Astyanax mexicanus: one gene and its partners. The protein of the gene in region 1 binds, or shares a complex with, the protein of each later gene. Links are inferred from orthologs where the notes say so. Each region holds a gene or a part of one and is shown in the gene's direction. Other genes may lie near its edges. The genes, in order: lin54, mybl1, lin9 and lin52.

The links.
Region 2: lin54 (region 1) and mybl1 share a complex: the UniProt entries of both Homo sapiens proteins name them as parts of the DREAM complex. The link is inferred for Astyanax mexicanus from reciprocal best matches to the Homo sapiens genes LIN54 and MYBL1.
Region 3: lin54 (region 1) and lin9 share a complex: the UniProt entries of both Homo sapiens proteins name them as parts of the DREAM complex. The link is inferred for Astyanax mexicanus from reciprocal best matches to the Homo sapiens genes LIN54 and LIN9.
Region 4: lin54 (region 1) and lin52 share a complex: the UniProt entries of both Homo sapiens proteins name them as parts of the DREAM complex. The link is inferred for Astyanax mexicanus from reciprocal best matches to the Homo sapiens genes LIN54 and LIN52.

What each region holds. Positions count from the first base shown.
Region 1 is NC_064427.1:22,631,335-22,639,322, reverse strand, and holds the start of lin54 (protein lin-54 homolog), read left to right. Parts: upstream 1-4,975; 5' UTR 4,976-5,166; intron 5,167-7,079; exon of another isoform or gene 7,080-7,348; intron 7,349-7,988. Other genes in the region: cops4 (COP9 signalosome complex subunit 4), read right to left, coding at 1-55, 728-831, 962-1,113, 1,896-1,975, 2,960-3,033. UniProt on the Homo sapiens protein: Component of the DREAM complex, a multiprotein complex that can both act as a transcription activator or repressor depending on the context. In G0 phase, the complex binds to more than 800 promoters and is required for repression of E2F target genes.
Region 2 is NC_064408.1:97,493,640-97,501,242, reverse strand, and holds the start of mybl1 (myb-related protein A), read left to right. Parts: upstream 1-4,602; 5' UTR 4,603-5,105; coding exon 5,106-5,128; intron 5,129-7,183; exon of another isoform or gene 7,184-7,308; intron 7,309-7,603. UniProt on the Homo sapiens protein: Transcription factor that specifically recognizes the sequence 5'-YAAC[GT]G-3'.
Region 3 is NC_064408.1:79,656,650-79,664,435, reverse strand, and holds the start of lin9 (protein lin-9 homolog), read left to right. Parts: upstream 1-4,782; 5' UTR 4,783-4,827; coding exon 4,828-4,858; intron 4,859-7,124; coding exon 7,125-7,157; intron 7,158-7,294; coding exon 7,295-7,386; intron 7,387-7,786. UniProt on the Homo sapiens protein: Acts as a tumor suppressor. Inhibits DNA synthesis. Its ability to inhibit oncogenic transformation is mediated through its association with RB1. Plays a role in the expression of genes required for the G1/S transition.
Region 4 is NC_064421.1:48,536,481-48,544,439, forward strand, and holds the start of lin52 (protein lin-52 homolog), read left to right. Parts: upstream 1-4,941; 5' UTR 4,942-5,016; coding exon 5,017-5,035; intron 5,036-6,340; coding exon 6,341-6,415; intron 6,416-6,554; coding exon 6,555-6,592; intron 6,593-7,128; coding exon 7,129-7,195; intron 7,196-7,338; coding exon 7,339-7,422; intron 7,423-7,959. Other genes in the region: pomt2 (protein O-mannosyl-transferase 2), read left to right, coding at 128-279, 730-821, 898-974, 1,067-1,138, 1,222-1,281, 1,948-2,064, 2,171-2,276, 2,747-2,887 and 2 more.

The sequences.
Region 1 (7,988 bases):
ATAAAGGCGGGCAATCTTCAGGTAAGTGTCCAACTTGTAGTCGACATTATACTGTCTGAAAACAACCACACAGGAGACTATTATTTTCAGGCAGCATCACATTATGTGCAAACTATAGTATTTGAACTGTCTTAAATTCGTTGGTTTCTTGATGCCATAAAACTATTGCATTTACATATTGAGTATTTCAGACTGGACTACGTTTTTATCAAGGCACAATACATGGGAGCAGTGATCAGAAGAAATCCCTTATATTTTTACGATATTTAAGTTCATCTTGCCACTAAATGATTCACAGAAAATTTAATTCAGTAAAATGTAACAAGAATTTCTCATTTTGAAGAAAGTAGTAGAGATCTTGTGGGCTACTTTAAGGAACAATGATTCTACCAGATTTCTCCTGGATGCCCCCAACCAGCACCACAGTGGATGTGTTCAATTCTGTGAGTAGCTCAACTGTTTTACCAAACTAAGTGTAGATGTGTTGATATTGTCTATAAATAATACAAGACTCTCATCTTGAGAAGAGCTTTGGAGTTATTTTAATATACACATTTTTTTTGTAAATGTAAGATTTTTTTATGTAAAAAAAAGAAATGTATTTGTATTTATCCTAAACAATATTATACTAATCAACACTTCAATTCTAAGGTTTTGCTTTTCAAATGACACACAGATCATGGGAATAAAAAAAAAATCAATTCAAAGGTAAGGTAGACTGACTTACTTCTGTCCTGTCTCCAGAGGTATACCCACTAAAACCTGTGCAGCATTTCTCCAGTCCTCTTCTTTCTCATATATAGTGGCTAGATGCTGTCTGATTGAAGCCACCTGAAAGAAATAGGAAGGTTTAATGTAGCACTCTTGCTAACCAAAGTATAATCATTATATAATAAATATTGGTGAAAACAACATGAGTGTGCATGTTTGAGCACAGTACTGTATAATTGTCCAAACGCACCTGCTCTTCAAAGGAGATAACTCTTGGCTGAATCTTCTCCAGTGTAAAGTGGTAGACAGCTTTAGCTGTGCTGTCGGGTAAATTTGGTAGGTGTGTGCAAAAGTCAGTGAGTAGCTGCCTGGATATCACCAGACTGACATTTTCATTGACCACTGCAGAGGAAGAAGACAACAGAAACATCTCACAGCGAGAAATATATAAACTTGGTGTACCAGAGGTTAAATAACAGCTAAGGGTGTTTAACACCTGAAAATCCAGAGCAGAGTCCACACCAAGGTTTGCGTTTTTGTTACATTAGATACGTATGGTCCGGTTAGTTTAAGTATGGTCCGTCATCATCACCTACTTGTAGTAAATCTCCCTAAACTTCACATTAATTAGTTTGTAGAATGTTGTTACTTCTGTGAACTGCTTTTCCAGGTGCTGTGCCAAAGTTTACCTCTCTACCAGAATTGAACTCTCCATCGCAGAGATAAAAGATTCCCCTCGGATTGCTTTCATTTCTGTTTATAAATAAAGCTTAATCTACAGTTACAGTAGATACTGGAATCACCAGCGAAAGTGTTTGCATCCATGTGTCTGCATGACGTGCCTGCACGCCAATGACACGCATTTCAGCACAACACCAGTTCTGCCTCAGCTTCCAGTAATTGGTCCAAACGTTTGAAACCATCTAGAAGTGTTTACACACTGAAGATGGACCAAACCATTAATCAGTATATTTTGTCCTTTGGACTCTTTGATCTGTTGTTTGCAGACCCTTTCACACGTTGTTATTTTTTTTTCTCTTTTTTCCCGTTTAGTGTTATTGCATTTCAAGTGAAATGCTCCAAAATGACTCTTTTTAAATCTGAGAATGTTTGTCCTTCTTCTGTGAAAAGACCATTTAAAGCTACAAGGTGTTCTCTAATGAAATGTGTGTTGGAATACTTACTGGCTTCAACAAATGCTTTCAGTGCCTCCAGTTGTTCTGCATCTGTGAACTGTATTGCCTTATCCAGAATCTGACGATACCTACAATAAATGCATATTATACATTAAAAATGCAGTCCGAAAACCAATATACTGGCTTATCAGCTGTTGTTTATCTGTACACTTTTAAAGCTCTCAGTGCCTCATTTTAAATGTCAGAATTGTACCAATAAAGTGCGGAGCTACTTTGAGGTTTCCAGCTGGCATTTCAATGCTGAATCAATGTTGATGCATACAAATTATGCAACTAGCTAACTATCTAACTATATAACTAACTTAGTGAATATACACAGCTCTGGGAAAAACAAGAGACCACTTAAATATGATGAGTTTCTTTGATTTTATCAAGTTAAAAACCTCTGGAATATAATCAAGAGATGAATGATCACAAGCCATCCATGGATGATCACAAGCCACATTTATGCACCAGGACTGGCATTAAGTAATCAAAAAGCAGTGTGTAAGATTGGTGGAGGTGAACATGCCAAGATGCATGAAAACTGTGATTTAAAAAACAGGTTATTGCACCAAATATTAATTTATTAAAATCTTTATAGACTATATAGATATTGCACGTTAGCCAGAATTAGAATCAACAAAGCTACTTAGCTTAGCATGCTAACAAGCTAACAACCATGCAGATAGGTCTGTGGTTAACTAGGTGCAGATACACTGTAATAAAATAAACAAAAAGTGTCCGAGTATAACGATTATTAAAAGCTTATATAATATGTTTTTTTGTAAAAGCTAGCTTTCACAAAAGTCGGAGTTCTAAAAAAAAATAAGCTCACCGGCTTAGCTATGGTAGCTAGCTAGTTAACTCCTCGATTAGCATTAGCATAAGCATAAGCAGGCTCCTACAGTTAGCTGTTACAGTTAGCATGAGCGAGTTAGCTAGCATGTAGCTGCACCTTCTAGCCACGTCCTGGATCTATATTAGCTATATTAAACCCGCTGTAATAAAGCTGCTGGGCTGGATCTGCACATAAGGGAATAATAAATAAAAGCCGCAGTAGAAATCCGTACTTTCCAGCGAGGTCTTTGTGAGATCCGCTGGAGTTCATCAGCTGGGCGAGCTCCTGCCGCACACCGGACGCCATCTTCCCCAATACACAACAACCAGCAGCGCGGAGATCTGATTTCTGACAGGCCGAAGGGCAGCGCACTCTCCACGGGGTACAGCACCACCAATGGCCGGTGTTCTGTCGAGTTGTGCTATCTTGTCAAACCGTGCTACCCTCGTGTATATTTAACTGTAAAAATACAAAAGAAGCACCATATTACAGCATGTTCACAGTAGAAGTCCCAGTAGATGTCGCTGGCTAGTATATGTATTTGGATAGCATAAATCACTATATCATGTTAAGGTTATGGCAATGAAAGCTTTTTTAATAAAAATAATTATTGTATTTATTATTATTAATAATTTTAATTCACACTTTTGTGCAATGACAGTGAGTCCAAGAAAACAAATAATATATTTTTTATATAAAAAAAACACGAGATCAAAAAGTAAAAGTAAAAAAGTAGGTCAGCGCATGCGCAGTACCTTTAAGAAGCATATATCGATGGGTAACATAACTCGACAGAACACCAGGCCCTCCAATCAATTACCCGATGGTGGCAGGGACTAGGCGATATGGTAAAATAATAAAATCGATTTTCGATATTCTTCAAATATATATGAGTGATTAGATTTTTTAGTTCTTACATATCAACTCAATACAACAGATTTGCCAAACTAATAACAAGGAGCAGAAATTTCAAATATGCACATTCATACTAAATTCATAAATAACTCATAACTACCTATAATATAACTAAACATATAAACTAAATAAAAAAAAAGTCTTCAGAGGAAAAAGGTATGACCCCTATACATCTGGATTGCATTTTACAATTTTTCACACTGGTGTTTGCTTTTCAGTTTGGCACTAATTCCACTTCATACCCGGCCAAAAAAAACTTAACTAAAATGGCAAATAGCTTTTTGACATTTCATTTTACCTCCCAAATAATAGGCGGTATATCCCCATTTGCCTGACAATGAAATTTGAAATGTTTTTCCCACTCCTCCATGCAGAAGTCTTTCTGCTGTGTGAGGATTCACGTAGTTTTCTGTACAGATGGCCTCACATTCTTAAAGACCAATTTATATTTCTGTAGCAAACCTATGCCATACCCTATGCAGACCCTACCCAAAAGTGTAACAGTGCACTGTGCGATGCGGACAGCAGCAGCTGTGATTGGTCCTCTGAGTCGTTACTAGTTAGGGTTTAGGGAGGGAGTAGTGTGGAAGATGGGTTATGAATATGCCATAGTTATAAGTTAGGGTGTAGTAAGCAGTTGTATATGTGGCACTGGGAGTTGGGAGTAGTGTGGAAGATATGTTGTGTATATGGTGTAGTTAGTAGTTAGGGTGTAGTGTATAGTGAGCAGTATATGGGTGTAGGGAGTAGTTTGGAAGATACTGTAGTTAGTAGTTAGGGTGTAGGGAGCAGTTGTATATGTGGCACTGGGTGCATGGAGTAATGTAAAAAAGTATGTATGTATGTATGTATATGGTATTGTTAGTAGTTATAGGTGTAGTGTAAAGCAAGCAATGAAATGGGTGTAGTGAGTAGTGTGGAAGTAGTGTTGTGTAGTTAGTAGATAGGGTGTAGTGTATAGTAAGCAGGATATGGGTGTAGGAAGTAGTGCGGAAGAAGTGTTGTGTAGTTATTTAGTGTAGTTAGTAGATAGGGTGTAGTGTACAGTGAGTAGTATATGGGTGTAGGGAGTAGTTTGGAAGAAGTGTTGTGTAGTTATTTGGTGTAGTTAGTAGATAGGGTGTAGTGTATAGTGAGCAGTATATGGGAGTAGGGAATAGTGTAGAAGAAGTGTTGTGTAGTTAGTAGAAAGGGTGTAGTGAATAGTGAGCAGAATATGGTTGGTAGTTGTAGGGAGTAGGGCGTAGGGAGTAGCGTGGAAGATGAGACACTAGAAGGAGCCAACTCCTGCGCGCGGGCGTTCCCTGTAGACGTAACACGCGGGTTCCCATGGAGGCGGAGCCTCATTATGGGATGTTAGGGGTGAAATGGCGCTCGGCGCGGTATTTTAAACAATCGGATCTGTTTCGGGAAACGTAGCGAGAGAAAAGCGGTGCGGGGCCCAGCTGTACCGGACCGGACTGGGCCGTGCACGAACACGGCGACAAGCGTCCACATTCCCGAGGAAGCGACCGTAATAGAACTGTAAGATTCCCGGTGCTGAGCTGCGGGTTTGGGGGGATCGGAGCGGGTTAGCCGCCGAGCTAACAGCTGATATGCGCTGTTTAGGTTCAGCAGGGCGGACTTTCTGTTCAGCTGCGGCTTCGCTGTAAAACTGCTGACACCCTGAATAGAAGTGGCTCAAAATAGAGCTGCAGACCACTGATTAATGTTATAGGACTATACGATTATAATATAAGTATATATCAGTTAATTTACAGTCTAATTGAGGGAGGAAATTGTGACATTTTTTCTGGTAGCTTAGCTAGCTTAGCTTAGCTTAGCTGAGTTGACAGTAATGACAGCAGCTATTTAGTGAGTTAGCTATAGCTAGTTAATGTGTTTTTTCTGAAACAGGAGGGCTATATTACATTTAATTAATGTAATATATAACATTTTAACCCCTTAATAGTGTGAAATCGAGGCAATTATTTTTATTGATCTTTTATTATGATTGATTAACTAATTAATTAAAATAACTATAATGTTACTAGGTTAGAGCTTGAGAAGAATCAGATTTTTTTTATTTGTGCTGTAAACTGATTGTATTGGTAGCTTAACAGAATAAACTTACAAGTTTAGTTGCATTACATCTTTTAAGGTTGACAATGAAAAAACAACCTTAAAATAACATTTATTTATCATTGCTTAAGGGGTAATTTAAGATTTAAAATATTTGAGCAGATGAGCTTTTCAACACTTTTCTTCACTGCAAACCATAACATTGATTCAATGCATTAATGATGAAAGGTGGAATGTATTTTGAGATTAATAGCTGGCATTAGGTGTTTTTAAAGAAATCACCTGGCATTTAAAAATATGCTAACATGCGGCAAAATATGTGTCAATAAGAGCATGCATTATGGTTTGAATAATAATCAAGCTTATTTTAATCAAGATAAAATATAATAAGTTTTGTAGCTAGTGCTAAGCAGAACCGATGCTGTGCATCACAAATTTTTAGGTCTGCAACGAATGATTATTATGGTATTCAACTAATCTGAATTATTTTTTTCAATTAGTCAACAAATATTTCTGCTATGTCCTCCACTTCTAAAAACAATTAAAACAGCTGATCATGAGATTTAAAAGGAATTTACGTGTCTAAATGTTGTATAAATGTAAAAAGATACTGACACTTAGTGAGTAAGTATGTAATCTGTTGTGTTTGGGCACTTTTGGAGTTGAGCATAAACTGTTTGAGTGAGACATTTATCCATCTCCCATTGCGTTTCTGTCCCCAGCACTTGTGTAATACGGCACTGTTGCAAATGAACGATTAGTCGACAATAACATTTGTAGTCAAATCAACATTATCGAGTTTATTGACTAATCATTGCAGCCCTATGATTCTTAACATTGCAATTCTTTAGGGTATTTTTGCAGTAAGGATATTCTTGCAGATATGAGCAAACATTGTTTTTTTTTGTTAAATTATTTTTTAAATATTTTACTTATTATAAATGTAAAGACATTATGTAGAAAAACAACTCTCTAAACTTTTGTCTGTAATAACTTACCCAGACTTTAACCAGATTGTGTATGAAACAATATAAAGTAATATAACAACAAAACTCTACAAGAATACTAATGTGCAGATTATTTATAGATTATTAAACTACAAAAAGTGCAAATAAACTGAACATTTTTGCTATTTTCGCAATATTTCGTTTTTGTTTTAACGTTTTTTAACCACACCTACTCTGCATACTAGCAAATAAACTATTGTAATTGTTTTTTTATGTATATATTTTTTGCACGTTTGAATATGCTTTTTAAACTCTTTACCTCCACGATAATCCCACTAAAAACCCACCAAAACTAACCAAATCCCACCCAAAACGCACCAAGCCGCTCCGCTGTTGTTTTTCTCGCGTCTGGAAATGAACTGATGACGAGTTGAAAATGGCGGATCTTTCGAAATCCAACCCGGGCCTGAAATAGAAACACAGCCCCGCTGCCCGCTTTCCGCAGGGCTCTTCATCACCACACCTCGCCCTGTTCAGCCTGGATATGTGTACTTTTATATCGACTAATGATTATTCAGAGAATGCAGAGTAATGTCGCGATTTATGTCATTTAAACAGGAGCAGCGCTGCTGAAAAACATTAACGCTAGCTGCCTGACTCGCCTTTCTGACCAGCACTCACACTCACAGAGAGAGGAGGTAGGACACAAACTGTAATTTTTTTGTTAGTTCTGAGCTGATTAAAGAGACCTAAACCGTATATACCATAAGATTACATCCAAATAAGCCTTTAAATAATACTTTAAACATTCACAGGCACCGTATTTTATATATGTTAAGACCCTTAGCTTTAAAACAGCTAGAAAAACAAAGCCTCTGGTAACTAACCTAACGTTACTGCGTTTAGATATAGCGTCAGGTTGGTTAAGCTATAGAATTAATTATTTAACTAGCTAGGAAGTTAGCGTTAGTTTTAAGATCAAATTTCAGGAATTTACCAGCAAACCAGTCCGTGTTTCTTTAGCCAGAGGCTGTTGGCTCCTACAGTTTTATGTACTGAAACCTATAACCTAATGTTAGGTTAGCTAACCCTGCTAGGTAGGTAAGCTAGCCACACAAATATTAGCCAGCCCTGACAGCTCATCCCCCTTTACAGCCCTGTTAATGTTAATCTGGTTTATTTCCTAATCCACACAAGCAGAGAGTTATTAAGTAAAAACGGTGTCTGTTTTAATAGCGCACCATTCGCCAAATAAGCACCTAGTTTTTGGCCAAAAAACAGTTCTTCTTGAATCTGTACTATTTCTATTTCAGTTTGTTTACTTGCTGATTAGTAACT
Region 2 (7,603 bases), on another chromosome or scaffold:
AATATAAAATCAACCGAGTCATATTTTTCAAAACTAAAAGTTGTAGTATGTTTATCAGGTGTGTCTCTAAAGACTACAAGTGATTTCATTTCTATATTTCATATTAGTACAGTACAGTAGCAATTTTTATTATTAAAAAAATAATATAAAATCAACCGAGTCATATTTTTCAAAACTAAAAGTTGTAGTATGTTTATCAGGTGTGTCTCTAAAGACTACAAGTGATTTTATTTCTATATTTCATATTAGTACAGTACAGTAGCAATTTTTATTATTAAAAAATTTAAAGAAAATCAACCAAATCATATTTTTTTAAATTAAAAGTTGTAGTATGTTTATCAGGTGTGTCTCTGAGGACTACAAGTGATTTTATTTCTATATTTCATATTAGTACAGTACAGTAGCAATTTTTGTATTATTAAAAAATTAATATAAAATCAACCGAGTCATATTTTTCAAAAATAAAAGTTGTAGTATGTTTATCAGGTGTGTCTCTGAAGACTAAAAGTGATTTTATTTCTATATTTCATATTAGTACAGTACAGTAGCAATTTTTATTATTAAAAAATGTATAAAAAATCAACCAAATCATATTTTTCAAAACTAAAGGTTGTAGTATGTTTATCAGGTGTGTCTCTGAAGACTAAAAGTGATTTTATTTCTATATTTCATATTAGTACAGTACAGTAGCAATTTTTATTATTAAAAAATGTATAAAAAATCAACCAAATCATATTTTTCAAAACTAAAAGTTGTAGTATGTTTATCAGGTGTGTCTCTGAAGACTAAAAGTGATTTTATTTCTATATTTCATGTTAGTACAGTACAGTAGCAATTTTTATTATTACAAAATTAATATAAAATCAACCGAGACATATTTTTCAAAACTAAAAGTTGTAGTATGTTTATCAGGTGTGTCTCTAAAGACTACAAGTGATTTTATTTCTATATTTCATATTAGTGCAGTACAGTAGCAATTTTTATTATTAAAAAATTAATATAAAATCAACCAAATCATATTTTTCAAAAATAAAAGTTGTAGTTATTTTTCAGGTGTGTCTCTAAAGACTACGTATGATTTTTTTATCTATATTTCATATGGGCGTGTTACAGTAGAAATGCATTAAACGGAGCTGTGAATGTTTACGTTTTTAATCAGGGTCCGTACTTTGCAGACGGTCCCTTAACAGCTTCAGCGCCCGCTGCAGCGATTCCTGCCATTTTCAGTAAATATTCTCGGAGAAACAGAAAGGTTGGGTGTTTTCAGAAAATCTGACGTTTGTAGTTTGTTCTCTGTTCTTCTGTGGTTTGGAAAATGTAATTTGGGAGAGTTTAGGACATTGCCTGCGAGCAAGAGAACGGCCGAAAGGCGAATCTCCGCTGAATATCGAATATCAAACTAACTTTACTCCGCTACACCTCACCTCCTCCGACTCTAACTTTAACTATTATTATTTTTAAATAATGATTTATTTATTTATCATTTATTTATATTTAACAGTGAATGTACAGGGAGTGGTTGTATTGTTTTAAATGCATTTTTTTTAAATAAAGTAACAGTACACAAATTAAACTAAAAAATAAATAAAATACATAGAAATTAAAGGTGTGCCATATCGCATCGTACGCAATAATATCACCAACATATTTGTATATTATGGAAGATATTATACCACATTATATCATACTGTTTTCCCATTTCCCATTATATCTACTAGAGACAGATTATCATTCATTTTACTTTAATCCTGGATATATGAAGATATTTGGAGTGCATTATTAATATCATGATATTCTGGATCATTGAATTCTGTTAAAATCTGATAAAATTCTCGTATTTTTTTTCAGTTAGGGGTGTGCCATATCATATCGTTTGCAATAATATAATTTATTTTAATTTTGTTGCAGTGGTGTATTCTTTAAATATTTTTTTTCATTCAAATTCAGTGTTTTGTCATATCGCCAACAGTATTGTTATCACGAAAATACCATAAAATATTATTAAATATTATTTTAACACCATATCGCCCAGCTGTAATGGACATTAAGACATTCATTACTGAAAAGATGACAAAGTTAAACACATATATAAACTTATACACATAAACATATAGCTGGTATACAAGTCACACACTGAAATTATCAATATAGTTTGATACAGTTCTTTAACAGAAGACGTATTTATGTATTTTTAGCTTTTCTGATTTGTTTTATATGCACTAAAGAATCATAAATAAAAAAAAAGTTAGGAATCGATGCCATGGCTTAGGATTTGAGTAAATTAGATTTTCCCAGTACGATGATTTTCAAATACAACTGGCTGAGTAAAGAAACATTCTGTGTGGTCTGTCATAAATAGTAGAAATTGTAAACAAATATTTATTTAAAATCTTTTCTAACAAATAGAATTGTTATGACCCTCTGCCATAATATTTATCTGGTTTTGATTTTTGCTTTTGCTTTCTTCTATATTTGTAAATGACAATTTAACTTTTCAACAATAAGGCAAAAAAAATAATGGAATGTATACTGTGTAGTATATATAGTGTGCGCTGTATGAGTGTACACAGACCACCCATACACTGTACACTTACAGAATACAGAATTTAATATTACATACTATTAAACATACATACCAAAACCATGTACAAGATCACAGAAGTTTTTTATGTATTTTTGATGTAAATATGACACTTCCATTGTCAAGCAAAAAACTCATACATATAACATGCCCATGTGGGGCCTGTATGAGTAGTCCAACTGGGAACCAGAAAGCTTTGTCCATGGGTTCTATGTTGACCCCACATATAAATGTCAATGGTGGGCCCCATCAAGGTCAGCGATGGGTCCAGAGAGGTTAAACATGGGCCACATCTGGGTTGTACTCTCTGTACATAGAGGCCATGTGAGATTAACGTGTGCTGTGAGGACGGGTTCCAACTGGGTTCCAATAAAACACATGTACAAAAACCCACTTAGAGCCCATGACCACCTGAGAACCACCTAGGACATGTGAGCCCCATATGAGCATGTTGGAGTATCTCCAAAAGTGAGAAACATTTGTTTAAAATGATTCGTTAAAAATAATTTTGAATTACTTATTGTTAAAGTAATTATAACATTTTGACACGATGGAAAGGACACTTTTGTCCATGTACTGATCTAATTGTGACATGAGGGAATTTCTAGGAAGATATGCCACCTCTTTCACGAATTCCATAAATATTCCATGAATATTGACAATAAATTTGTTTCCTAAACACATTAAGTGTGCAAAACACAGTCGTGCACAGTGCTGTTTGTTATGACAATTTTACTGTGTATTTTATACAAACCGGTTTTTACACAAACTAGTGTAACCACTGGGTGTGCTTTTTCTGAAGCAGTAGTCCTGTACTGTCCACACGAGGGCGACAAAACATCACGAGAAAAATATCCTCCACCACTTCACACAGCTCAGATCTGCATACAATTAGGATTGACATATAATATAGGATAGACATGTTCATATGGTGAATTCATTCATTTTAATGCTTTTAATTACTCTTACAGTACTATTTTCTGAACTGAACATATCAGAAAGTACAATTTCTATATGAACATGTACGATAAACTAATTGTGAATTTCTGTAAAGTTGATGGTTGGAAAGTTTATTTATTATAAACTGATTAACAGTGAATAATAACTAAAATGTGGTGACTTGATAGTGAATATGTGGTATCTTGCGGATGAGTGCATAAGAAATGTTAAACTGTTACTATGTGGTCAGTTGATAGTAAATATGTGTTATATTGATGCTACGTGCATGAGAAATGTTAAAATGTGCGGTAAGTTAATGGTTGATATTGAATAACTGTGGTGTGGTACGTTGATAGTTGATAGTAAATATGTGGTATATTGATGCTAAATGCACAACAAATGTTAAAATGTTAATGTTGGTAAGATGATAGTAAAGATGAGGTATATTGATGCTAAATGCAAAAAAAATGCTAAAATGTTGTTGTGTGGTAAGTTGATAGCTAATATGGGGTATATTGATGCTAAGTGCATAAGAAATGCTAAACTGTTAATGTGTGGTTAGTTGATAGTGAATATGTGGTACATTGATGCTAAGTGCATAAGAAATGTTAAAATGTGCGGTTAGTTGATAGCTGAGAGTGAAAATTGTGGTAAATTATGGTGTGGTAAGTTGATACTTAATAGTAAATATGTGGTATATTGATGCTAAGTGCATAAGAAATGTTAAAATGTTAATGTGTTGTTAGTGAATATGTGGTATATTGATTTTAAGTGCATGAGAAATTAGAAGAAATTATAAATTGATAATGAACATGTGGTAAAATTATGGTAAATGTATTAATTCATGGTGGATGCATAAGAAATGAAAATATTACTACACTTAAAATTATAACGTGGTGCTGAGTGGGTGATTAGTGAGTGGTGAGTGTGTGTTAAGCTGACAGGGAATGTACGACACACTGACGGTAAATGTGTTGTTGCGCGCGGAGCGTGGAGGCGCCACTGACTCGGCGCGGCTTCTGACCAATCAGCTGCGAGGCCGCGTGCGCAGATTCAAACTGAGCAGCAGCAGGAGGAGGAGCGCGCGATTCGGCGGGACACACAAATCAGCAGAGAGAGGAGCGAGAAAGAGGAGGAGGAGGGCGAGCTTCTGGAGACAAGGCGGGCAAAACACACACAGGGGCAGAGAGATAGCTAGCTAGGTTATAATGTTTCTCAGTAGATACCCGTCCATTGCCCGTTCACCTCTGTACAGGATTATAACTATAGCCTGAGCGCGGTGATTATAACAGCGGGTGTAGGGAGCTGTGTATTATTGTGTTGTTCTGTTTTGCGCGGTTTTTCTGAAACAGGACTGGAGGACTGAACATTATAATCTGACTAAAGCTGCTACAGCGAGTTTAATGCAGGAGGACAGAAGATACACAGTTGTCTGACAAGCGGCGAGCGGCCGGATAAATGTCAGTGAGGTCGATCCTGGTGTGTTTGGATTTTAGGCGTGACTGCAGCTGTGGATTATTCCTGTGACTCGTTTTACTTTCGATAAGAAGCGACCCTGTCACTTACAGAGAGCACCGGATCTGACATGGCCAACATTAAGTCCCGCAGGTGAGAGACACTCTCAGATACTCAGCTAACTAACTAACTACTCAGACTGTAGCTATGATGATCAGACTTCTTACTCTCTGTGTTTTGTGTCATGATGTAGAATTACTCTTCTTTATCTTTCCAACTCTCATTAGACCTGAACCCACTAGAATACAATAACCTTGACTGGATCTGTAGCTAACTTACATAGAAGCTAATTTTGCTATGCCCTAACACTGTTCACATTAGGGTCAAGCTAGCTAGTTAGTTAACTCTTTAACATGCCTTGTCCTGTCTACAGGCTACAGGTGTAGATTATATAAAACACATTTTTTTCTGAAGTAAAATAACTTATTTGAAATCTCCTACAGGACACTTTGAGAAGCTGCCTGTTCACTCTCTATTCCACTTAATAATCCCAGATCAATAACAAAATCAACCCAAATTCTGCATGATTAAAAATAGACGTAAAACTAGAAAAACATAACAAAACTAAAGGTTTGGAGAACATGAAATGTTTGATTTGTGTTCAGGAAAATAATGATTTTAGAATGAAGTTCAGGAAATAGCTAATTTTATGATTTTATTTGTTATATTTTGACATTAGCAGATATATTTAAATATTTGTCAATATTTTCTATTACAATTACATTTGTGCTTTTTAGTAAAGTTCTTTATCAAACATGAAACCTTTTTTATGTAATGCTTGTATAGAACTCCTCAAGATTTAGTGGTGTAATGTCAAGCAGAAAATGTAATTACACAAATCCTGGCCTGTTAATGGGTTAATACAGTATTACATGCAGAAGCTAACCTAACTAGTATCTAGTTTAACACTAGTTAAACCTAGTTTAACAACTTTTTAAATTCTGATCTTACAATAAAAGCTAGATAATCAGCTTTTACAGCTAGATAATCATAATATGGCTAACACTAATAAACACAAAGCAGCCTGACGTTTCCTTGACACTAGTTGCTAAGCTAGCTAGCCACACTTTGGATAATGCTAGCTAGCCAGTGCTAACAAGCTAAAGCTAAGATAGTCATTATTTAATCCAGGGCTGTGAAACCATGTCCCTAACAGTGTGATAAGCTACATCATTACACACAGGGGCTGTATAACCTTTGCTAACCTAACCTACCTGTTAATTGCTAATGTTGGCTAACTATCTAGCTAAGCTAAATAGCTAGGTTAGCTTAGCTAACGCTAGCTCTCTGGCTGTGTGCTTGTGTAGTGCTGAGCTGTCACTGATCTGTCATTCAGTTACTTCCTTAGTTTATATTTGCAGTTTATTACTAAACTGTAGCTTTTATTGCAGGTTTCTTACTAAAGCACTTCTTACTATAGCTGCTAGAAAATTCCACAAAAAACAGTATAGGTTTCTTACTAAAATACTTCCTACTATAGCTGCCAGAAGATTACCCACAAAAAAACATTGTAGGTTTCTTATTAAGCACTTCTTACTGTAGCTGCTAGAAGATTCCACAAAAAACATTGTAGGTTTCTTACTAGAGCACATCTTACTTTAGCTAATATTAGGTTCCACACAAAAATAGTCTAGGTTTCTTACTAAAGTACATTTTTTTAGATTATATCAGTGGTTCATAGTGGCTACACTCCAGCCAGTTGGATGAGCTGTGATGCTTTTTAGTATAAAACATTTATTTGTATTATTACATTTTTCATTTTTAGGTATGCTATCTTTATAATAAAACATTCCGTTGCTGACATGTATAATGTGCTCAAAAACTGGCATGGTGATGCACCACAATATTATGTTAAAAATGCAGCATGTGGCCAACCCCTATATTAATGTTTTTAAAGAAGTGTAGATACTTTATTTCTGGTTCGCTAGCTTTGGTTGTACATCATGCACTTGTTTTTGTACTTCAAAGAGCTGCTTCAAAAAAGTTTCATCAAAACACATGTCTTGAGAAAGTAAAATTAATGTAGTAAGAATATGTTCTCATATGTAAAATGGTGCAAAATCAAAGATTATGTTTCATCTTATTTTCAAAATTAATTTCATAGGATGTAAAACGAACTGCTGAGGCCTAGCTTCATTACACACAGTGTAATACAGTAGTATATATACAGTACATTAAAAGACGTAAAGGGTGACTGGTGTTGTCCAAGGAAGGTGATGGAAATTATTGAATGGGAGAGATGGAGGGTTTGTTTGAAGAGCCTAAAGACTAAGGTTTGGCTATTACGTAATTTCTGGATGAATGCACTGCTGTGTGTGTGTGTGTGTCTACCCTTGCCCCTTTCTGTGTGCCTCCTGAAGAGGGGCGGGGGTGAAACTGTTTCTCCACAGTTACTAGGTTTGAATGTTGTTTTCAAAAGGAATCAAGTTCAAGTGTGCTGTTGATGTTAAAACTTTATAAGTTTATTTAAAGACTAAATGTTTTCCAAAAAGTAGTAAAGTAATGTAATAATTCAGTACTTTATTGACAATAAAAAGTAGAGAACATACAAATTTGACAATTACATTG
Region 3 (7,786 bases), on another chromosome or scaffold:
CAAAGTGAGAGTTAAAAACCTGACAGAGTTCCTTCTGATCTGAGATCAGCTGATCATCCACTAAAGCCCTGGTACGAAAGGGATTGGAGTTCTTTTTAAGGGAATTTACATTTTTCCAGAAGTTCTGGGGGTTTGTGGAGTTGGAGATTAAGCTAAGGTAGTATTCTGATTGAACTGGGTTGAACTGTAGACTGTATATAATAATATTACAGTCTGTAAGGGGGTTTGAACTGTAGGCTGTATATAATAATATTACAGTCTGTAAGGGGGGTTGAACTGTAGGCTGTATATAATAATAATAATAATAATACAGTCTGTAAGGGGGGTTGAACTGTAGGCTGTATATTATAATAATAATACAGTCTGTAAGGGGGGTTGAACTGTAGGCTGTATATTATAATAATATTACAGTCTGTAAGGGGGTTTGAACTGTAGGCTGTATATTATAATAATATTACAGTCTGTAAGGGGGGTTGAACTGTAGACTGTATATAATAATAATAATACTGTAAGGGGGGTTGAGCTGTAGGCTGTATATTATAATAATATTACAGTCTGTAAGGGGGTTTGAACTGTAGGCTGTATATTATAATAATATTACAGTCTGTAAGGGGGGTTGAACTGTAGGCTGTATATTATAATAATATTACAGTCTGTAAGGGGGGTTGAACTGTAGGCTGTATATTATAATAATATTACAGTCTGTAAGGGGGTTTGAACTGTAGGCTGTATATTATAATAATAATACAGTCTGTAAGGGGGGTTGAAATGTAGGCTGTATATTATAATAATATTACAGTCTGTAAGGGGGTTTGAACTGTAGGCTGTATATTATAATAATATTACAGTCTGTAAGGGGGGTTGAACTGTAGACTGTATATAATAATAATAATACTGTAAGGGGGGTTGAGCTGTAGGCTGTATATTATAATAATATTACAGTCTGTAAGGGGGTTTGAACTGTAGGCTGTATATTATAATAATATTACAGTCTGTAAGGGGGGTTGAACTGTAGGCTGTATATTATAATAATATTACAGTCTGTAAGGGGGTTTGAACTGTAGGCTGTATATTATAATAATATTACAGTCTGTAAGGGGGTTTGAACTGTAGGCTGTATATAATAATAATAATATTACAGCCTGTAAGGAGGTTTGAACTGTAGGCTGTATATTATAATAATATTACAGTCTGTAAGGGGGGTTGAACTGTAGGCTGTATATAATAATAATAATACAGTCTGTAAGGGGGTTTGAACTGTAGGCTGTATATAATAATAATAATACAGTCTGTAAGGGGGTTTGAACTGTAGGCTGTATATTATAATAATATTACAGTCTGTAAGGGGGTTTGAACTGTAGGCTGTATATAATAATATTACAGTCTGTAAGGGGGTTTGAACTGTAGGCTGTATATTATAATAATATTACAGTCTGTAAGGGGGGTTGAACTGTAGGCTGTATATAATAATAATAATACAGTCTGTAAGGGGGTTTGAACTGTAGGCTGTATATAATAATAATAATACAGTCTGTAAGGGGGTTTGAACTGTAGGCTGTATATTATAATAATATTACAGTCTGTAAGGGGGTTTGAACTGTAGGCTGTATATTATAATAATATTACAGTCTGTAAGGGGGTTTGAACTGTAGGCTGTATATTATAATAATATTACAGTCTGTAAGGGGGTTTGAACTGTAGGCTGTATATTATAATAATATTACAGTCTGTAAGGGGGTTTGAACTGTAGGCTGTATATTATAATAATATTACAGTCTGTAAGGGGGTTTGAACTGTAGGCTGTATATTATAATAATATTACAGTCTGTAAGGGGGTTTGAACTGTAGGCTGTATATTATAATAATATTACAGTCTGTAAGGGGGTTTGAACTGTAGGCTGTATATAATAATAATAATATTACAGCCTGTAAGGAGGTTTGAACTGTAGGCTGTATATTATAATAATATTACAGTCTGTAAGGGGGGTTGAACTGTAGGCTGTATATAATAATAATAATACAGTCTGTAAGGGGGTTTGAACTGTAGGCTGTATATAATAATAATAATACAGTCTGTAAGGGGGTTTGAACTGTAGGCTGTATATTATAATAATATTACAGTCTGTAAGGGGGTTTGAACTGTAGGCTGTATATTATAATAATATTACAGTCTGTAAGGGGGTTTGAACTGTAGGCTGTATATTATAATAATATTACAGTCTGTAAGGGGGTTTGAACTGTAGGCTGTATATAATAATAATATTACAGTCTGTAAGGGGGTTTGAACTGTAGGCTGTATATAATAATAATAATACAGTCTGTAAGGGGGTTTGAACTGTAGGCTGTATATTATAATAATATTACAGTCTGTAAGGGGGTTTGAACTGTAGGCTGTATATAATAATAATATTACAGTCTGTAAGGGGGTTTGAACTGTAGGCTGTATATTATAATAATATTACAGTCTGTAAGGGGGTTTGAACTGTAGGCTGTATATTATAATAATATTACAGTCTGTAAGGGGGGTTGAACTGTAGGCTGTATATAATAATAATATTACAGTCTGTAAGGGGGTTTTAACTGTAGGCTGTATATTATAATAATATTACAGTCTGTAAGGGGGTTTGAACTGTAGGCTGTATATAATAATATTACAGTCTGTAAGGGGGTTTGAACTGTAGGCTGTATATAATAATAATAATAATACAGTCTGTAAGGGGGTTTGAACTGTAGGCTGTATATAATAATAATATTACAGTCTGTAAGGGGGTTTGAACTGTAGGCTGTATATTATAATAATATTACAGTCTGTAAGGGGGTTTGAACTGTAGGCTGTATATTATAATAATATTACAGTCTGTAAGGGGGTTTGAACTGTAGGCTGTATATAATAATATTACAGTCTGTAAGGGGGTTTGAACTGTAGGCTGTATATAATAATATTACAGTCTGTAAGGGGGGTTGAACTGTAGGCTGTATATAATAATATTACAGTCTGTAAGGGGGTTTGAACTGTAGGCTGTATATAATAATATTACAGTCTGTAAGGGGGTTTGAACTGTAGGCTGTATATAATAATAATAATACAGTCTGTAAGGGGGTTTGAACTGTAGGCTGTATATAATAATAATATTACAGTCTGTAAGGGGGTTTGAACTGTAGGCTGTATATTATAATAATATTACAGTCTGTAAGGGGGTTTGAACTGTAGGCTGTATATAATAATATTACAGTCTGTAAGGGGGTTTGAACTGTAGGCTGTATATAATAATAATAATACAGTCTGTAAGGGGGTTTGAACTGTAGGCTGTATATTATAATAATATTACAGTCTGTAAGGGGGTTTGAACTGTAGGCTGTATATTATAATAATATTACAGTCTGTAAGGGGGTTTGAACTGTAGGCTGTATATTATAATAATATTACAGTCTGTAAGGGGGTTTGAACTGTAGGCTGTATATTATAATAATACAGTCTGTAAGGGGGTTTGAACTGTAGGCTGTATATTATAATAATATTACAGTCTGTAAGGGGGTTTGAACTGTAGGCTGTATATAATAATATTACAGTCTGTAAGGGGGTTTGAACTGTAGGCTGTATATTATAATAATATTACAGTCTGTAAGGGGGTTTGAACTGTAGGCTGTATATTATAATAATATTACAGTCTGTAAGGGGGTTTGAGCTGTAGGCTGTATATTATAATAATATTACAGTCTGTAAGGGGGTTTGAACTGTAGGCTGTATATTATAATAATATTACAGTCTGTAAGGGGGTTTGAACTGTAGGCTGTATATTATAATAATATTACAGTCTGTAAGGGGGTTTGAACTGTAGGCTGTATATAATAATATTACAGTCTGTAAGGGGGTTTGAACTGTAGGCTGTATATAATAATAATATTACAGTCTGTAAGGGGGTTTGAACTGTAGGCTGTATATTATAATAATATTACAGTCTGTAAGGGGGTTTGAACTGTAGGCTGTATATTATAATAATATTACAGTCTGTAAGGGGGTTTGAACTGTAGGCTGTATATAATAATATTACAGTCTGTAAGGGGGTTTGAACTGTAGGCTGTATATAATAATATTACAGTCTGTAAGGGGGTTTGAACTGTAGGCTGTATATTATAATAATATTACAGTCTGTAAGGGGGTTTGAACTGTAGGCTGTATATTATAATAATATTACAGTCTGTAAGGGGGTTTGAACTGTAGGCTGTATATTATAATAATATTACAGTCTGTAAGGGGGTTTGAACTGTAGGCTGTATATAATAATATTACAGTCTGTAAGGGGGTTTGAACTGTAGGCTGTATATTATAATAATATTACAGTCTGTAAGGGGGTTTGAACTGTAGGCTGTATATTATAATAATATTACAGTCTGTAAGGGGGTTTGAACTGTAGGCTGTATATTATAATAATATTACAGTCTGTAAGGGGGTTTGAACTGTAGGCTGTATATTATAATAATATTACAGTCTGTAAGGGGGTTTGAACTGTAGGCTGTATATTATAATAATATTACAGTCTGTAAGGGGGTTTGAACTGTAGGCTGTATATTATAATAATATTACAGTCTGTAAGGGGGTTTGAACTGTAGGCTGTATATTATAATAATATTACAGTCTGTAAGGGGGTTTGAACTGTAGGCTGTATATTATAATAATATTACAGTCTGTAAGGGGGTTTGAACTGTAGGCTGTATATTATAATAATATTACAGTCTGTAAGGGGGTTTGAACGGCCCTCTCCTGAGTCTCTGTCCCAGAATGCTTCGCGTCATTCGGGCTTTGAAAAGCGGCGCGGCTCCTTCAAGATGGCGGAGCTGGAGCAGCTGCTGGACGAGAGTGAGTAGTAAACCCGGGCTCTGCTGTGGTCTACAGACCGCGTTTCAGACTATCTTGCGGGCGGTTTGTGATTATAAGCGGTTGGGGGCTTGTTGAGGTCTGTGTCGGGCTGTGAAGGCGCCGGGTCTCTGAGCTGTAGTAACTTCACCTCAGTGCTAGTTAGCAGCGATGCTAACTGCTAGGTGCTAGCTGCTAGCCGGGCTAGCCCCGGCTCAGAGCTATAAATAAAGCAGTTCAGCTGTACTTTCTCTCCGACCCGCCGGTAAACAGAGTGATTAGGACTCTCCCGGTGAGCGGAGCGGCTGCTCGGGGCTGGGAGGAGCTGGGAGCGGGGCTGGGTGTTTGTGTGTTTGAGAGCCGGGGGGCTGTGTGAGTTGATCCCGGTGTCTGAGGGGCTCTGTGTGTCTCTCTGATCTCCGCAGGTCGGTGACAGCTGCTGCTGCTCGGCTGTGTAGCTAAAGCTCTTTATCAGGGGGTCACTCTCAGCTGAATACAGATAAACAGAGATAATGGTGCTCCTAACTGCTCTTAGATTCCTTGTTCTCTCACTAAAGCTCTTTATAAAGCGCTGTTTTTCACCTACACTGCTGTAGGGTCTCGTCTGTAGGTTACGCTTTAGTTTGTTAGTTACGTTAGCTGTGGCCGGTGTTATGGCAAATTGTGCTACCTTGTCAAATCGTGCTACTCTATTTAACTCCAACAATACAAAAGAAGCACCATATTAGAGCATTTTTTTCAGTAGCTGTAGCTAGTTAGTATATTTGGATAGCATAAATTACTGTATCATGGTAACATTATGGCAATGAGAGGTCTTTTAAAATCTGCTTTTGTATATGTATTTTCTTTAATAATAATTATTGTATGTATTATTCATTTCCATTTACACTATTGTGCAATGAAAGTTAGTCCAGGTTGTTTAATGCACAAAAACTCCAAACAGATTTATAATGAAACACGAATTTTTATTTTCTAATAAGATCTATTATATGTATTATTAATTTCCATTTACACTTTTGTACAATGAAGGTGAGTCCAGGTTGTTAAATGCACAGAAAAAAACAGATTTATAATAAAAAAAAACAGGAGAAATATACATATATTTAAATAACAAGTATTATTATGTATTATTAATTTCCATTAGGTCAGCGCATGCGTAGTGTATTTAAGAAGCATGTTTCGATGAGTAGCGCATCTCGACGGAACACCCCCGGTTGTTTTCTGGGCTGTTAGCTCTGGAGTATCAGTGTAGCTACTCTGTGTCTCTCTGTTTTTATAATGTTAGCTAACGTTACTGTGTGCTGGAAGTCTTGGCTGTGCTAAAATCAGCTCGAAATCAAACTGTGCGAGCCGTTATTAGTCACAGTATAGGTTTATTTCTTACTACAGGTTGTTAGAGGAGCAGCTGGCACACCTTACAAACACACACAGCCGCCTGTCCTCCTCATAAAGGGTCCATTTACTTTACAGCAGCGCTGTAGCTACAACACCCAGCCTACAGGTCTGACCAGCTAGCTTATTAGACCTGTTAAGAGGGTAGTAGTAGTAATAAGAAATTAATAACAATAGTGCTAATAATAATAATGCTAGCCAATATTTACATTTTTACTATGTAATCCTATTAGATTATATTTATGTCTCAGAGTAAGAGGATTTACTTCAAATGACAAGTAAAACCGACAAGTAAAAAGTAAAAACTGAGATGCCCAATAATATTGTAATTGTAATTATAGATCACTTAAAAAAAAGAAGACAAAAACAGAATCTAATAATTTAACATGCTGCGAACATATATTTAATATCTTTGCTGAACATAGTAGGTAAAGCTATATGCAAAAATGAAGGTTTCCAAGTTCTAATTGTCTTTTTTTTGTTTGTTTTGTTTAATGCATAACTCCAGTTTATCATAATTATGAAATGTGCTATGCAGAAATTATGGCATTTTATTTTATTTCTTCCCAATTAATGGTAACATTTTATTCCAGAAATATTTTTGCGTCTAAGGGATTTAAAACAGTAAACCCATCCCCTGAAGTTCATCAGGTATTAGGTGCTAATTTATCTAGTCAGTTTGCCAAAACCTTGAGTTCCAAACATGATTCAAAAATGATATAGCACCTTAATATCAGGTGCTAAATTTAATTGCCCGTTCTAGTGTTTATATGTTTAGCTGTAAACATGTATCAGATTTTAAAATCTTGTTCTACAGATCACTGTTTATTTTTCCTGTTTAGAGAATTTCTTTTTTTTCCCCCTATTTTATTTACAGGCTCTTCAGCGAAAGCTCTTGTCAGTCTTAAAGGTAATTGCACTTAAAGGTTTAATATTTCTAAGCAGCTGCATACATATGCAAATGCAAATAAAGTAATTATATTAAATATGTGATTACTGTTATTCAGTTAACTGCACATTCCTCTTTGCGGTTATATGTCTTTGTAGAAGGAAGTTTGTCAAACACTTTAAATGAGAAAAACAACCTACCAAAATCTCAGAACACCAGGGGAAGGAGCAGCTACACGTCTATGGAAACGGTAAGTGGCTTGTCCGGTTGCTTGTTTAAATAGAAATAGACTAAGTTTTATTTGCCTGATTATTTAAGGTACACTTAGATGACCAGGCAGACGTACCATAATGAGTCCTGTTTCTTGTATGTGGAGCTGATGTGCGTGCATGCATGCTGATTCAGGGAAAGATTGTTTACATTACAGGCATGTTCCACTTACATATATAGATATTAATCGTCAAGTTGGCCAAATCTGATCTGAGTTTAAAGAAAAACAAATTGATTTGAGATTTAACATGAACATAGTCTTTGGTTATATTTATGTGGTTGATAAATTATATAGATTAATGTGTGCATATTTGTGGTTTGGTATGCATGTCTCAGTTTTGTTGTCTTGTTTTGTTTGTTCTGGATATATTTAAATACCC
Region 4 (7,959 bases), on another chromosome or scaffold:
ATATCTGATGATGCCAGGATGTAGCTGTAAGTTATTTAGTGCATAACTAATACATTAACCATGGTTCAGACATTGGTCTGGACATTTTCTTCATTATTAGTCACTTGGCATGTTTAATCTCTTTCAGAACGGTACAGGGGACCTCAATGACCTGTGGCAGGTGGAGGTGTGTGGGGGGAAGAAAGGTGATCCGGTGAAGGTCCTGCGCAGTAAAGTCCGCTTCCTGCATCGCTCCACTGGCTGTGTGCTGTTTTCCTCAGGAAAAACCCTCCCAAAGTGGTGAGTGCATTAAAAATGGTGCTGAGGAGGAAAAGATCAGATTTACAACATTTAGTTAGAATTACTACAGCTTAAAGAAGAATTACTGTATTTTCTGCACTAAAAGGTGCACCGGATTATAAGGCACATTATACAACACTAGTAAGAAACAGGGATGTCGCCATGTTTTCCTTTTAATTCAGCAGATCTGACCACTAAACAGTTGTTTTAAACTACAGTTGCTACATAATGGTGCAAATTTAAGGTCTGTCCAGTAGGAACATCTCTTTACAGATTTGACATTTGGATTTACTTATCTGCTAAACTGAAAAATTCTTTTGTGAAGCATCTGTCTGGGATTAGGAATAGCAGTTATGTTCAGATATTTTAGGAAAACACTAAAGAGTTTGTGACAGAAAGGTCACAAACATTGAAAAAATAAAAATGTTTTATCTTTGTAATGTTTTAAAGGGGCTGGGAGCAGGTGGAGGTCACTTGTAGTCCATATTTAAAGGAAACTCCCAATTCCCAGTGGAACATTGAGGATCACATCAACCCCAATTGTAAGTTCTTGCAACTTAACCAACATATCCAATTTCTTTTTGATTCTTTATTATACTTTTCTTTCTCTTTATCTAGTGCCCAACATCAGTCTGCATGTGCTCAAACCTTCCTTCCTGGAGATTCTGCTGGAGTCTCATATTGTCATGATCAGGGTAAGATGAGCCCAGAAAATTATCGGTCACATTTGATGAAGTTTTAATAAAGTGTTTTGTGTGCTGAGGCAGTTTTATTGTTTTTCTAACAGGGTAACAGTGGCTTAAAACCTAAGGACAATGAGGTGAACTCTAAACCTTGGCACTGGCCCATCAACTATCAGGTAGGTTCACCTCAGAGGAATATAACAACTGACTTTTATTGTGGAAATAATCTAAAATTTATTCTTTGTTACTGTGTGTTTAGGGTTTAAGGTTTTCTGGAGTGAATGAGACGGAGTACCGAGTGTATCTGCTGGGGAACCCTGTGAGTCTAGTTCTGTCCATGTCCTTATTTTTTCAGTTTTTAATGACCAAGATACTTGTAAGTTAGAAATGTTTTAAAATAAAGAGATTTTTTACACTAATAACAGTCTTTGCAATGTCATATGTTACTTTACAACATGTGTAATAATGCCCTGCTAAGTGCAGTTCAGCCACTGACCTAGTCTTAGAGTCTCTGTAAAACACCAAATCCACCGGAGATCCTATTTAAACCTATAGATACTTACACACAGAGGTGGGTAGTTTAGGTCCAGAAAGTAAAAATCCACCCGGGGTATATTTTTACTTTTAACTAGTGGAAACAGAACTATTCTAAATATACACCTACTTATCTCAATTGTACTTGGCTGGTGGTGTCTTTCCTCCATAGACTAATTCTAACCATTTGTTTCTTAGCTCTGAATTACTGGGTAAAGTATATAAACACTGATGTGTTATTCGCACAAATAACACAGGAATGAACTACATGCTGTTCCTAGTGCTGTTAGCTCCTCCTATCTGACGAGACGGCGTTGCTGCCTGGCTTGAGCTCTGCCTGTGGGCGGTCCCGAGCCGAGGTGGGCGGGGCCATGAATACTAATTCACAGGTTGATGTAGACACGGTGCTTTTCCTGATCGACTCATTTTTCGGAATATTTTCTTTTACTAGCTGCTGCAGACAATGAGGAAGAGGTTGAGGAAGAGTTTCATCATGTGCAGCATTATAAACAACTCAGAGAGACCTGCTGTATTTCATAAAGAACAAGAACAAGAGGATTTTAGTGGAGTGAAACCTTTAACACATTTAATAAGGCTGATATTTAAATGCAAGTGAATCGGCAGAAATCTGCATGATGACCTGAACCTGACCTGACTCTCTCTCTCTACTACAGGTGATCTGGTGGCTGAACCTGTTCAGTCTGGGGCTGTTTGTTGTCATGGTGTCTGTGTGCTCTTTGGCCTTACAGAGAGGAGCTAAATTAGAGGGAGAGAGAAAAGGTAGGCGGTTAACTCTTCATAGTGGTTCAGTGTTAATCAACATATTAGATCCTCTCATCATTAATAGTAGTTCATTCCTCATATTTATGTGTGCTTTAAACATTCTTTTTTTAATTGGAAATGTTCTACACATTCTTAAATCTTTTTCACAATTATTCCAAATATTATTTAACAGGTATACATCTATTTTTAAATGAGTTCTTACTTTTTGTTTTTTAAACACACCTATTCCTCCAAAGCCATATTTGCTCTCGTTTTATTCATTCTGAATCCAGCTAGGAAGTAAATGGTTTTGTGCTCTGTGCATAAAATGTAATCATTTTTATCTTTAAAAGTGCAGAAAAATAAATATTTAAATTGACTTTTGTTTTAAATAGTTAACTGTTTTAAAAAATGTATTTAGTGTTGTGATATGTGAATTTGCTTAGTTTAAGGTTTTTACTGTGTTTGTTTGTTTGGTGTTTTTGCAGCACATTGCCGGGTTATTTTAGAAGGTGGTGGGATGCTGTTCCTGGCCTGGCTGCTTCACTACCTGCCCTTCTACAGCATGGGCCGTATTCTCTACTACCACCACTACTTCCCTGCTGTGCTCTTCAGCAGTATGCTTACAGGTACAGAAAACTGAGGACATACTCCTCCAAACAGAATAGTAGTGGTTTATGTGATAATATTCTTCTGTGTTGTTCTGCATTTTAAAACCCTGTACCATTCATAAATGTTTTAATACCAAACACAAACTTGTGAACAAAATTTGTGATTTTTTTTCTTCTTCTATTTAAAGGAATAACACTGGACACATTTCTACAGAATGTTGACCTTCTATGTAGACCACCGTATTCAAAGTATATTCTAAGAGGGGGTCAGACGGTTCTCCTGGTCGGCATCCTCTACAGGTGAGAGCGACAGCAGGCTTTATGATCGTCACAGTTCTTACAAAATATCTGTGAAGGCAAAATAAATCCTTTAACTTGTGTTAAACTTAAAAAATCTTTAAGTTACATTAATAAAAGATTGTTATATATTTTATAATTCTGGGCCATTTAATTGAAAAGTTAATATGCTGTATTTTTTGTTAGAATTCATACATAAGCAGCTCTGATGATTTTTGGGAAAATTAAAGGATTTTAAGTGCAAAAAATACGAAAAAGTTTTATAATGGCTGTTACTCGTATATTATTTAGTCTATTTTTTTCTGTTCTTTTTTTTTCCATTAATCTTTGTTTTTTTTTCCCTCTATTTGCAGCTTCTATCTGTTCCACCCTCTCTCCTATGGCATGAGGGGGCCGTTAGCTCATGATCCCTCCTCCTCCATGGCCGGACTCCGGTGGCTGGACTCCTGGGAATTTTAAAAGAAATAAAAATATCAGGGGATCGTTTTGTTTAGTTTGTTTGTTTGTTGTGAAGTTATTAGTTTATTCACTATTGAGCTGCTAAAACTTAGTGTGTTACATTTCACCCTTTAAGTATTCAACTCCAGTTTTACTCAAAACTATGTGTTTTGTGCTTGTTTTATTGTGTTAAATCTTTTTTCGTTTTTTTTTTTTTGTTCAGTACACTGCATATTGGCCTGGTTAATATAACTAGTGGTCCACATCATTTCATTTATTACATTACATTAGATAAAGGTAAATTAGAATGTGATCAGTGTTCTGAAACACTACATAATCATTATTTACATATTTTGCGGTACTTTTATTATTATTTTTTTGTTTTGACTTAAGTAAACAATCAAAATAAAAAGTGCCTTTTAAATGAAGTGTTTAAATAGTGAATTAAATGGAGTAAGACGGAGTATTAGAGTGTTAAAATTCACTATCATTTTCTGACTGAAATTATAAATCTTGTAAGTGTTAAAGTGTTAGTTATGGATTCTAGAAAGCAAGAAGCAAATAGCAGTATTGTTTTAGTTGGATTGATGTGATCTTTGGATTGATGTGAAATGGGAGGTTTTACTGTGTAAAAAAAATTAAAGTGTTTTTAAGAATGTTCTGTCATGTTCTATTTCTCGCTGGTACTGATTATATTGTGGAAACACATCAGACTTTTAGGAAGGTATATTGTAGTTAGCAAGTCACAAAAATCATGGTTGTATGGCTGTGTGAACATGCCAAATCCAATTTTTCCAAATCACAAAGCAAAAGCAAACCGCCTGTCCTTTTTTCATTTCCTGGACCTGAGCATGAACTTCAGAGCAGCTGTTTACTCTCCACTCCAGCAAAAGATGCTCCACATATGAGCTGCAAACTCTACATCTATAACCCTTTATAAAGCTACGAGTCTCTTGTCTCTCTAATATGAGGGTTTTTGTTGTTGGTGAAGAAGAAGGCGTTTATACAGGTATCAATGTGCAGCATGTGAGACGATTCAGGAACAGATTCTGTGTTCACATTATACACAGATACCGATCACTTATGGAGCCAAATCAGGGACAAAAAACTAAATCCAAAAATAAAATCTGCAACTAAAATTTAAGATCTTAAATATCAAAATACACAAGTAAGTGAAAATTTAAATAACAAAAATTGTTTAAAACAATTTCCAAATCGAATCAAAATTATATATGAGCTGAAAAAAAATTTATACACTTATTTTTGTTTATCTAAATGATTAAAATATGTGTTTAAATGTGAGACTACATTTCCCGGAAGTCTGTAGGTCACAAGAGGCGGAACGACCCACGTCAGTCGCTTCACATCTCACTAACGATTGGCTACAGGAGGTCACGTGTGTGGTTGTGAAGATGGCGTCTCCGAATGGAGGTAAAATTTAATTCCTGTGCGGGGATGAGTTTGCGGGGTTATTGCGGGGCTGTAATGCGGGGTGGTGTGTGTGTGAGATGGTCGGGGTGTGTGAGGTGCTGGTCGGTACTCGGTGAGCGGAGCTCCGCGGCGCGGAGGTCCTGCTAACGGACTGTTTACCTACAGACCGACCGAGCGCTCCTTCACCTTTACACCGGGACAGCGACCCTCAGCCCGGCTGTGTGTTAGCGAGCGTTACCCTGCTCTAACGGAGCCCTAAACACCGGGTTCACCTGTAAATTATTCTTCTAAATAAGCGACTAAATACTGTTGTTCCACGTTACTGTGTTTAAAAACACGAAGTGAAACAGGCGCAGGATACATATTTTTCTTTTGTTATGTTTATAATGTGTACTAGGGCTGCAACTAATGATTATTTTGGTAGTCGACTAATCTGATTATTATTTTTTCGATTAGTCGATTAGTCAACGATTATGTCTTCCATCTCTAAAAACTATAGAAACAGCTGACCATGATGTTTAAAAGGTATTTAAATGTCTGGATCTTGTTAAAACGTGAAGAGTATTAATATTTAGTCAGTAAATATGTAGTCTGTTGAGTTTAGGCACTTTTGGAGACAGACTTTGGAGAGACAAAGTAAAACATATTAATTATATAAATTAATATTAATTGTTAATTTATTAATATAAATTATTTGTTTCTGGATTCTAGTCCAGATGATCAGAAATCATTCCACGCTTGAGTCTGATTCTTGCTATCTAGATCAATGTAGATTATATTTACAGTCATTTATAGCTTACTGGATCAAAGAAATTATATAAAAGCGTCAACATGTCTAAACCATATACTTTAATATCAGACAAATATAACCTGAGTTAATATAAAAAGCTCTTTTAAACGAGCATTTTATAGGAAAAAAACTATCCAAACTAATCAGGCCCTGTGTGAAAAAGTATTTCACCCTAAATGTAATAACTTGGTTAAATCACTCTTGCCGGTGCTTTTTATTAATGTTTACTCAGGTTATGTTTTTCGGATATTAAAGTTTGTATGATAATTGGAAAAATATCAGACAGTGATTTGAAGTGAGAAAATGATCTCACTATGATATTTACAATAACACAAAATAAGTTGCCAGAACCAACAAAATGAAATATATGGATGAATGTAGAAAACCAACATGTTTTTTTTTTTTTTTTACAGGTTTTGATTCATTTCACAGCATTTAGTAATAATTTGAGTTACTGAATATATGGTGCACCTCTTGTTTCACAGTTAAATTTTCTCCACCTTTTTTTTTTATAGGTGAGGACTTTGAGTCCTCTTTGCTGAGCTATGAAAAGCTTGACCGAGCATCACCTGACCTTTGGCCAGAGCAGTGTAAGTTGCTGAATTATGACAAATGTTTTGTCATTTTTTTTTATTTATATATTTTTTAAAGATATGCTGAGATTGAATATGTTTCTGGTCTGTAGAAAGTATTGTCATATTTACTTCTTTAATGTTTGTTTGAAAACAGTGCCAGGGGTTTCAGAATTTGCAGCCACCTTTAAAAACGTGAGTATTGTCGCTCTACATTACTTGTTAGTATTTTTCCACACTATTAGGTGCGCTTAAAATGCTTTAATTTTTCTCAAAATCATCAGAGCTCCTTATAATCCGGGGTTCCTTATGTATGAATTCTATCAGTCAGGTATTAAGGAGCAGTAAAGACACTCCACTGAAGTACAGAGTTATACAGGAGATTCAGTTTAGTTCTCCAGCACTGAGACTGGAATAGCATTAGCATTAGCCGCTAACTGCAGCACTAGGCACTAGCTCTTTCACCACTTAGAGGTGAGTATTAACAAACTGTAGCCTGCTGCTAACCCTGGCTAGCACTAGCTGCTAATGCTAATGCTGCTGCACTCAGCCTTAGTGGAAATCTACCCAAATAAACAGTTTTTAAGAGAGGAATCTGTGTAAAAAGGGGTGAGACCTTTTAATTTAGAAGGAAAGCATGGTGACACCCCTGTTCCTTACTAGTGTTGCATAAAATGCGCCTTAAAATTCAGTGCGCCATATAGTTGTCTGATGTCTTTTTGTTTCTTCAGCCAATCACAAACTCTCCACCCAAGTGGATGGCAGAACTGGAATCAGAAGACATTGAAATGCTGAAAGGTACATTTTGATTTAATAGCATCAATGCATAATATTAGGTTTATTCATATTTTGCTTTGACTAAAAACTGCACCTTATTTTTGTCTCTTTATAATTGTGTTAATAACTGTGTTTTACTGCAAACTTTTTTTGTTCTGTCTCAGAACTGGGGAGTCTGACCACAGCTAACCTGATGGAAAAAGTTAAAGGACTACAGAACTTGGCGTATCAGCTGGGCCTGGAGGAGTGTAAGTAGATTAGTATCTAATTTAAACTAAAAACCAGAACACAATCATCACTCTCACTTTGCAGAACCTTAAATATTATACTTATTAATGCCAGTGCTGATTTTCGCCTCTAGATGGCGCAACTGATTAAAAAAACATAAATAATTGTTGGAACTGAATTGGAATTAAAACTGTGAAGTTTTAAAACATCTAAAATGTAGTTTTTCATATTTAAAGTCCAAAAAATCCTTGAACTGGACGGGAGCTATTTAATTATATCAAGGGCTTAATGAATATCCATCTATTTTTACACTATAAGGTGCATTATTCCACACTAGTAAGGGACAGGGGTGTTTTGCTTCTAATTCAGCATAAAAAATTCTTCATTCAGTTATAAATCTAAAGTTAAGTAGACAAAAAACTGTGATTCTTACAAAAAAAAATATTTTGTTTTTTTAAGTAAACAAAAAACAAAAAAAATGGAAAGTGAAATGTCTTCCACACTTCATTAATCTAGTGTTTGATTTCTGAGTTTGTTGGTGGGCTCTTTGTGTGTAT